Oryzias latipes: one gene and its partner. The protein of the gene in region 2 interacts with the protein of the main gene of each other region in a pairwise test. Links are inferred from orthologs where the notes say so. Each region holds a gene or a part of one and is shown on either strand. Other genes may lie near its edges.

Region 1 (4,454 bases), on a different chromosome or scaffold from region 2:
ATAATTCATCCTGATCCAAATCCTTTTTTTGGTGTGTTTTTGTAATGTCTCCAGCACATTGACTGTCATCGCTGCAGGTCTGTGACACTCACTGGGCTGCCCGGGACAGCTCAGGGCTCTCTCCAGCTCCTCCATCGCTCCTTTCTTCTTCTTGAGTTTCTTAACAAGAGAATCGACAGCCTTTTCGGCCCACTTCTCCTCCTCGTCGCCTTGCTTCCAGCCAAGCAGCCGTTTCACTGCCGGGCTGGTGAAGGAGAACAGGGACGTAAAGGACGTGGAGGAGTTCATTTTGAGGGCGAAGCACAGTCGGGGAGATGAACTGATAGGTCAAGTTGGATTAGAGTTCCCTCGAGGACAGGAATTTATCGACCACAACGTAAAAAACAACAACAAAAAATGGAGGCAAGATTAAAAGAGCTGACGTGCTGAGTCAGGGCAGATGTTTTTGTTTGTATTCCTCTGCTTTTTTTCCAAGCAGCTTTCAGTGAAGACGCTGGACTCCAGCCAGCTCCCAATCCTGTCTCTGTGCCGGCACAAAAGGGATCTGGCGGCTCTGGATTGAGCCTCCTGCTGGGAAGGTTATTCCTCACAGAGCCAGAAGCCCAGGTCAAGTTTCAATCATCTGAGGAGAGACAGGAGAGACTGCATCAACGTACTGGAGTGAGGAGGTGTAGGACGGTCAGGTACCACAGAGAAGATGAGTGCAGCAGGAGCTTCAAGTCCAACTCCGGTAACCTTTTTATCTATTTTCAAAGCGTACCCAATTTTAATTATGTCATTTTTAGCCAAAAAAAAAACTGTGTTGTTTGACATAGTTTCTGCAGAGCGGCAGTTCATTAGAAATTCACCTCTGAGTTGTGGGTGGGACCGTTGGAATGAAGTCACCCCGCCCCTACTTCCCATCATCCATCTGTTCACATGCTCTCCCGCCATCTTACAGCGACTCACAACCCTAAGCTAACATCACTGGTGCAACAAAAATAATGAACAATACTGGAGTCATTCAGTTCTGATCCGGATCCCAGCTCAGACGAGGAAAACGAAGACGTGAATTAATCTAGTCGTCTACAAGAGGATGCATATTTTCCACCAAACAAATACACTCTTTTCCCAACTGCATTTCTTTGTTTATTCCTGATACATAATGATTTGAAAAAAGAAATACTCAGAAATTCAATTTTAAGCTTATTTTTCTTCATATATGTCCTCCATCATCAGGAAAATGCTACAAGAACATGTTCAAAACACCAAGTGTGTGGTGGGTCTTTAACCTGTTGTAAGTGGCTTTATAAAAAATGTGCAAAAACATGGATTTCCATAATCATGAGGCTTTCTCGGTGTGGTAACACTTCAAACTGCTCTTCCACAAACTACACAATGGCAAAGGTCTGTATGGAGTAAAAAAAAAAAACACTCCAGAGAATAATTCCAGAAAAAAAGCAGACCAACGTGGCCAAAACTCATTTCTAGATTCACCGCTGATGGGGGAACGTCCTTTCTGGCCTCTGTTTCTGTGATCATGCCACTGACGCCCAGGAGCCATTCTGTCTGGCCAGAACACATCACAGGACAGGAGGGGGAGAGGGAAACCGGGAGGGAGACTTCTGCTTGTGTCTTTGCATTTCAGCCGTCCTGGAAATGACACAAATGGAGGGGTGCTGGAGCAGCAGACCCCCAATGAATCTCTGTATCTTCAGTGGTTAAACAATATCTGGTTTTGAGCATTTGCACATGATTTTTAGATGCAAATTTTGACTGCATGTCTGAGCACGTTTTTCATTGAAGCGCTGCAGAAATGTCTCAGGTGAGTCTAAAATGATGACAGGTAACATGACTTCATGAAAGCACCGGCACAATGCGGCCACCACTGGCCTGTCCACTGCAGACAGACAGCTGAAGTTTTTACAATGACAGCAAAAGCGCCCCAGCTCAGTGCAGGATCAGTCCATCGCTGCTGCTGCTTTATGGAACCCTGGCGTCAGCGAGTCTGCAGCCTCAGATAGACTAATTACCTAATGCTTTATCGCTAGTGCACCCCTTCCCAAAAAAGTAAACACCAGGCTTCCTTTTACTATCACTCCATGCGGTTATTTCCCCCCGCAGTCAAATCCAGATTCTGCTAAAAAATAAATAAATAAATAAAGTAAACACACATTTGGTTTAAAAATGTGCGATCACCATCAATTGTTGATTTTACTAACTTTTTTCCCCCTGACTTTTAAAAATTGCAGTTTTTTTAAAGCCAACTTCTGTTCATTGCTATACTAAGGTAATTTTTTTAATTGCAATATTTCGTTTCAATTTCCCCCACTTACTTATAAGCACTACCTGATAGGAACATCTTGCGCAAATTCCCAAAATAAAATCAAAGTTCAGATGACAAAAAGTTCAAAATACTACTTTATAACAAGATACATAAACTATTTCCCTCTGCAAATAGGAAGACGGTTTGTTTCCTCACCTCTGTTGTGATAACAAGTGCACAGAAGAAGGTCGTGAGTGTGGCAGCTTCCCCGTCAAGTCAGAGTTGTGGAAGTGCGCGTCTGCCTCGAGTGTGTTGTGTCTGTCTGTCCACGCGGGAGTGTAAAGACAGCGTCAACGGGAAATTGTTTGAAATCCTTCCTTTCAGAATAAAAGCATGTGGCTTTCGTTCTTGAGCCAACGTAGATACGTTTTTAATGATGAGAAAAGATTGCTTTTTTGTGTGATAATTCTCACTACACCTTAGACAACTATACAACAATAGACAACTACGTAAAAATGTTTAAAAACTAGTTTTACCAACTTTTAAAATGTGCACTACAGTCAGCTTATTTACTAACCATAAAAACCCTAATTGTTAAAATTATTTTTGCCTTATCTATAAGAATGAATTCAACAAAATCAATTTAAAAAACCGTCTTACTAGACGTACTCTTTGTTCATTTAATTTATGGCCCACATGACTTCAGACGTCTTTTTTTTCATGAGAATATATATTTTCTTTTTTGTTTTTAATTTTAATATTTGCTGTTTTGTTCAAATTGTATTAAAATATGATACATGTTATTATTATAAAATAGTATTTATTGTATTCCTGTGATATTTACTGTCATTATCTGTTGTTTTTATTACTGTTGTTGTTTGAGCTATTATAATTACACTAACAAACAAAAAATGTAACTATGAAATATAATCTAGTTAAACAGCTGTCCTGACAGTGGTGCCAAGATTTGTTTTGTCTTGATTGATTGATTGATTGATTGATTGATTGATTGATTGATTGATTGATTGATTGAATGAATGAATATTAAAACAGTTACACAGAATGGAGTGGAAGTTTATTAATTTAAAAAAAATCTTAAACTGTGACTCAAGTTTCAGTGTTAAAGAACACGTATGTCACAAAATGCTCAAATCGATTCTCGCAAAAATTATTAATTCATTCATTTTCTTCCGTTTGTCCCTTTCATGGTCACGGGGCTGCTGGAGCCTATCCCGGCCACTTATGGGCAAAGGTAGGGGACACCCTGGACAGGTCGCCAGTCTGTCGCAGGGTCACACACACACACACCCATGCACACTCACGTTCACACCTATGGACAATTTGGAGTGACCAATTAACCTATGAAGCATGTTTTTGGACGGTGGGAGGAAGCCGGAGTCCCCTGAGAAAACCCACACACCCCCAAAAATTATTTTTGGTATAATAAAGTGTTTACATACTGTAACGGAAGTTGTGAATTTTGCTTTTTATTATGAAGGTCGAGTTTTCGTCGCTTCCGGTGTGACTGTCCATGGCGCCTTTGACGCAGGTTTGAAGAGCTCCGGCTCCCCTCCTTCAGCAGCCACAGTGGAGCGCCGCGCAGCCTTGGAGGCGTCAGTCTGACTGGAACCTCAGCGCTTGTTTGCCAGATCCCTCCGCCCTCTCTATGCTGGAACATTCCCAGGTTTTCTGGGATTTTAGTTGTAGCGCCTTCTGCGCGTGCAGCAGCGCGCGCTTTCCCGCGTTTCACCTGTGTCACGCCCAGACTTTCATTCATTCAGTGTTGAGGCATGGGATGACGGAACGTCTGTTTTATTACTATCTGGCTTTTCATAACGTTACTTTTTATCATATAAAGTCGCGTTGTTGTTTTGTCTGATGGGATAAACATTTAAATTCTTAGATAAACAGTTTTTGCACGCAACAATATTAGCATCCAAATAGAAAATTTTTACTTTCTTTACGTCACCATTCAACAGTGGAAAGTGAGAAAACTAACCGAGAGCTTTATATACGTTCCCCTCAATTGATATATAATCCTAATTTAAAATCACCAGTATTCAATCAAAACATCTTTCAAGATGTTTGACTTTATAAAATACAACTGTGTTGTTTTTTAAATCATATTTTCAGCTATTGCTTCATAAATATCTTACACCTTTACTTTAAATAAACTGCATTGTTACCATGCAAAGTTCTTTGTCACCGC
Region 2 (3,820 bases):
ATTTTGAAAAGGCTGAGATGTTTTCTGGTTCAACCATTCTGACATGAGACTTTTTTTCTCTTTCTTTTTAAAAAAATATTCTCCAATATGAAACTGATGGTAAAAATAAGCAGGACATGCATCTAATTCTTTATTTTCTTTGAGATCTCAGTACCTCAGCAGACTTTCAGCCGGTCAGAAGGTTCTGAAGTTTTATACCATGGTTCGAGTCAATACTCGATTCTGATTGGCTGCTGGGTGTGCGTCAGAAATTGATCACCGCACGCCCCAAACAGAAGTTCCGGTCACATATCTTAAATCTTTTATATGACTGCCAGCTTCTTTAAAACAACCTTTAGCTTCATCATCTGGACAAAAAAAAGCGGCAAGAGGTGAACTTTCTCTCTGAACTGATGCTTTATTTAACCCATCGGGACGATCAGCATATATATATTTATCGCTTTATATCGCCAAATCTCGACCGCAGCGGTGGTGCAACGCCATGTCACATTACCGTGACAACGCGTCGCACCACATAACAAACAGTTCGCTTTTCTGGAAAAAAAGCGATACAAATCGAAAAAAAGAACAAGAATTACGGACTTAAAAACTGGATAATATTTATTTCTTTTGTAAGTCACCATGGTATAAGCGGGTTAATGGCCGACCAAGTGTGCATTATCATTTTTTAACGCACTTCGCGGAAGGGGAGGACGGTTCAGGCTTCAACGCCGTGAGTTAAAAAGTGATAATGCACACGTCGTCGGCCATTAACCCTTACATAAACTGCTTTTGCATTAACAGTAGCTCTGTGTTCTTACTGGAGCGTGGAGCTTATGATATCAGAAAAGGGATTTGATCAGATCAAACTTCCCAATTCTACCCGGCAACCAAGTTATTTATGGAACTTTAAGCATTTTTTATCCGCACACTCACGTCTGCCACTTCCATCACAGTCGCCTGTTTTAGCTACACAGTTAAGAATTCAGGTAGAAATTTTGGTGCAACTACTTGGAATGTTTGTTTTGTTTTTGGACATCGCTTTAAGATTTTTAAAGTATGTTTAACAAAATTAATATTTGAAGCAGAATCTGCAGCATTTGAAGCCTTGTTTACATCAGACAGCTGGTTATCATATCAACATGAAGACACGCTGCCGAGGTTGACGTCATGAAACGGGCGGCACCCACAAGGAGGGAAGGGCGGAGCCTCAGAGATCGAGTCGTCTTATTTTCATTTAGGAAAATGACCTGCAAAAACAACTCCCTTCATTAAAAAAAATATTCTTTAGAATCCCAAAGGTAATATCATATATATGGATACAGTTTACTCCCAAAGGCTTAAGACTAGCATCATATAGACCCTTTAATCTTAATTTTTTATATATATCTATATCTAGATATAGATATGTTCTCCATTATCAGACAAATGCAACAAAAATATGTAAAACACACCAAAAACAAAAATGGATTTTTAAACAGCTGGTGGGAATTTCTCTCCTTTAGTAAAATGATTCTTGATGCTTGTGCAGAACAAAGCATGAGGTCTGAACATTCAGGTTCTGCAGCTGCAAAGCTGAAGGTTTTGTACAGAGAGCCTTTGACGTCTCCTTCCATCTGCACAGAAACTGTGTTCAGCTGCAGTTCCTCCACTCACTTTCCTTCCATAGTTACCCTCCTGGATAATCAAGCCGTTGCAGCTTTTACTGTGAACTTTATCGATTTGGAATAAGTTGTTGCAGCTTTGTTGTTGTTGTTGTTGTCTGTCCTGCCTGCACCTCCTCCAGGAGCTGCAGATCCTTCAGTTGCCGGGGGTTTAAACTGCAGGCACGAGGCATCATGGGGTTCCCGTGTGTCTGAAGCACAGTAATCTGGATTTAAATCCAATCAAATCCGTCTTCTCCAGGAAAATCCTGCAGTTTTTTTAAAGATACATATATCGGTTTTCCTTAAAAGTGAAAGGTTGTTTGTTTTTCTATCAAAACTAGGGATAAATCTATTTCTATTCCTACGATCCAAGCAGATCGGTCTGTCCAAGGCAGAATCGAATCGACCTATACTACTTTAAAATAAAAAAACCTCTCTAACATCCTCCTTGCTGTTTGTCTAGGTGACTGTCACACGCTGAACAGGGAATGATGGGCTCATGTTTATGTGTGTGATTTGCAACTGAATTACAGGAAGAAGATGAAGAAGATTTGGGGGCGGGCCGTCTGCTTTCTGTCAGCCAACGAGTCCAGAATCCGAACAGAGACGCAGAGGATTGGAGGGGCCGACTTCCTGGTCTGGAGGTGGATTCAACCCTCCCTGTCTTGTGACAAAGCCAACCCCATGCCCTCCAAGGTCTGGCAGGGACAAGGTAATCCATGTCCTGGGGCCCTACCCAGCCCCACCCACTCCTGACCCCCCCTTACTGGCTGTATGCACCTCATTGCCCCTGCCGCCCCGGTCAGAGCTCCAACTGAAAAATTCATTTAGAAAAATAGCAGCTTTTCTGTTGGTTTTGTCTCCATAGCAACCGTATCATTTTTTCAAACAGATCAATGTCAAATTTCGTAGAAGAATTTTTGAATCTCCTTGGCAACAGAAGTTTTTTGTAAACTGCTCTCACTTTCCTAATATGTCCACATCGTATTGTCTATTGTTTTGTTTAGCTTGAGCCAACGATTCATGTTTTACATTTTCACGATATTCCAGTTAAAGATTTGCTACCGGCATGGAAACGCCACATTTGTAAGCTCGCCACGCCAAAGCTGCTCAAAATCTACAAACTTTAAACAAACAATAGTTTCCCATGATGCTCGAGGAGTTAGATGGTGAAAGATTAAAATACTTAGGTATATAAATTTGCTGCTGCTGCTATAGGTGATTTATTTATTTTTAACTCTAGGTGGCAGCTTTATCCAAGGTGAAAGGTCAACAAAACTTTGGTTGTGGTTGTAGTATCACCCTGATGGCGTCTATGTGAGATTTCGTGAAGATTACTCGAACAAAAGTCTTTTTCTCACTATGTGAGAGAATGGGGAAAGTCGTCAAATTTTACACTCTGCCAAAAAAACGGCCTCTGAGCTGTAGGTCCTGTGACCATCCCATAATAATCTCTAAACCTTGGATTTCTCTAAAGTATGCTCACACAAGCAGCGTCAACTCGCGTTCAGGCGACCACCTTTAAATAAAAAGTCTATGCATTTGTTCATAGACCAGAATTTCGTCCGGAACGTCTGTGATCGCGCGTTGCTGCACACGTTTTTAAGTCCCGCCACGGCCTCTGCGTACAGAACGGTGTTCATTGATAGTGCGCTGAAAGTTCAACCGGTTGAACTTCTTCCCGCTGAATCGCATCACTGTGACCAATCGGGGACTCGGATTTGATAGTGACGTGTAGGTCGAGTCTTTTTTTTAGACCAGGGAGGTAGCCTAGCAACCGTTGTAAAGATGAAGGAGAAACGAATATTTGCTTTTTGTGTCCGGCCGGAAGAATATGACACCAAGATGAACATTTATAGAAACGGAGCTGAGAAAACAAAAAGCCAGGAGCGACATTTGCCCCCACTTTGACTTTTCACATCAAGTTTCATCCCACTGCAGGTGACAGATAAGCAGACCAGAGCTAGTAGAAAAAATGTGTGTCAGGTGTGAACACCACCGGCTTACACCAGGTACTAGGTGTTTGCTGATTTTGGTGAGTTTTTGGCGGGCGCAAATTTTTGCTCAAAGGCACAGAATTAGAAGAGAATTGTGAAAACAATTCAGTCCAGGACTGCTGATGGACAGATTGAATAACTGCTCAGTTTGCCAAAGAAGCTCCATGAATGTATTATTGGGGTTTTTTCCTGAACGTG

What was found.
Region 1: the proteins of lemd3 (region 2) and smad9 interact in binary tests that used the Homo sapiens proteins (3 or more experiments, as listed by UniProt). The link is inferred for Oryzias latipes from reciprocal best matches to the Homo sapiens genes LEMD3 and SMAD9.

The regions. Positions count from the first base shown.
Region 1 is NC_019872.2:10,262,934-10,267,387, forward strand, and holds the start of smad9 (mothers against decapentaplegic homolog 9), read right to left. Parts: upstream 2,868-4,454; 5' UTR 2,462-2,867; intron 1,659-2,461; exon of another isoform or gene 1,633-1,658; 5' UTR 1,477-1,632; intron 623-1,476; 5' UTR 289-622; coding exon 93-288; intron 1-92. UniProt on the Homo sapiens protein: Transcriptional modulator activated by BMP (bone morphogenetic proteins) type 1 receptor kinase. SMAD9 is a receptor-regulated SMAD (R-SMAD).
Region 2 is NC_019881.2:11,313,496-11,317,315, forward strand, and holds part of lemd3 (inner nuclear membrane protein Man1), read left to right. Parts: intron 1-2,158; coding exon 2,159-2,337; intron 2,338-3,820.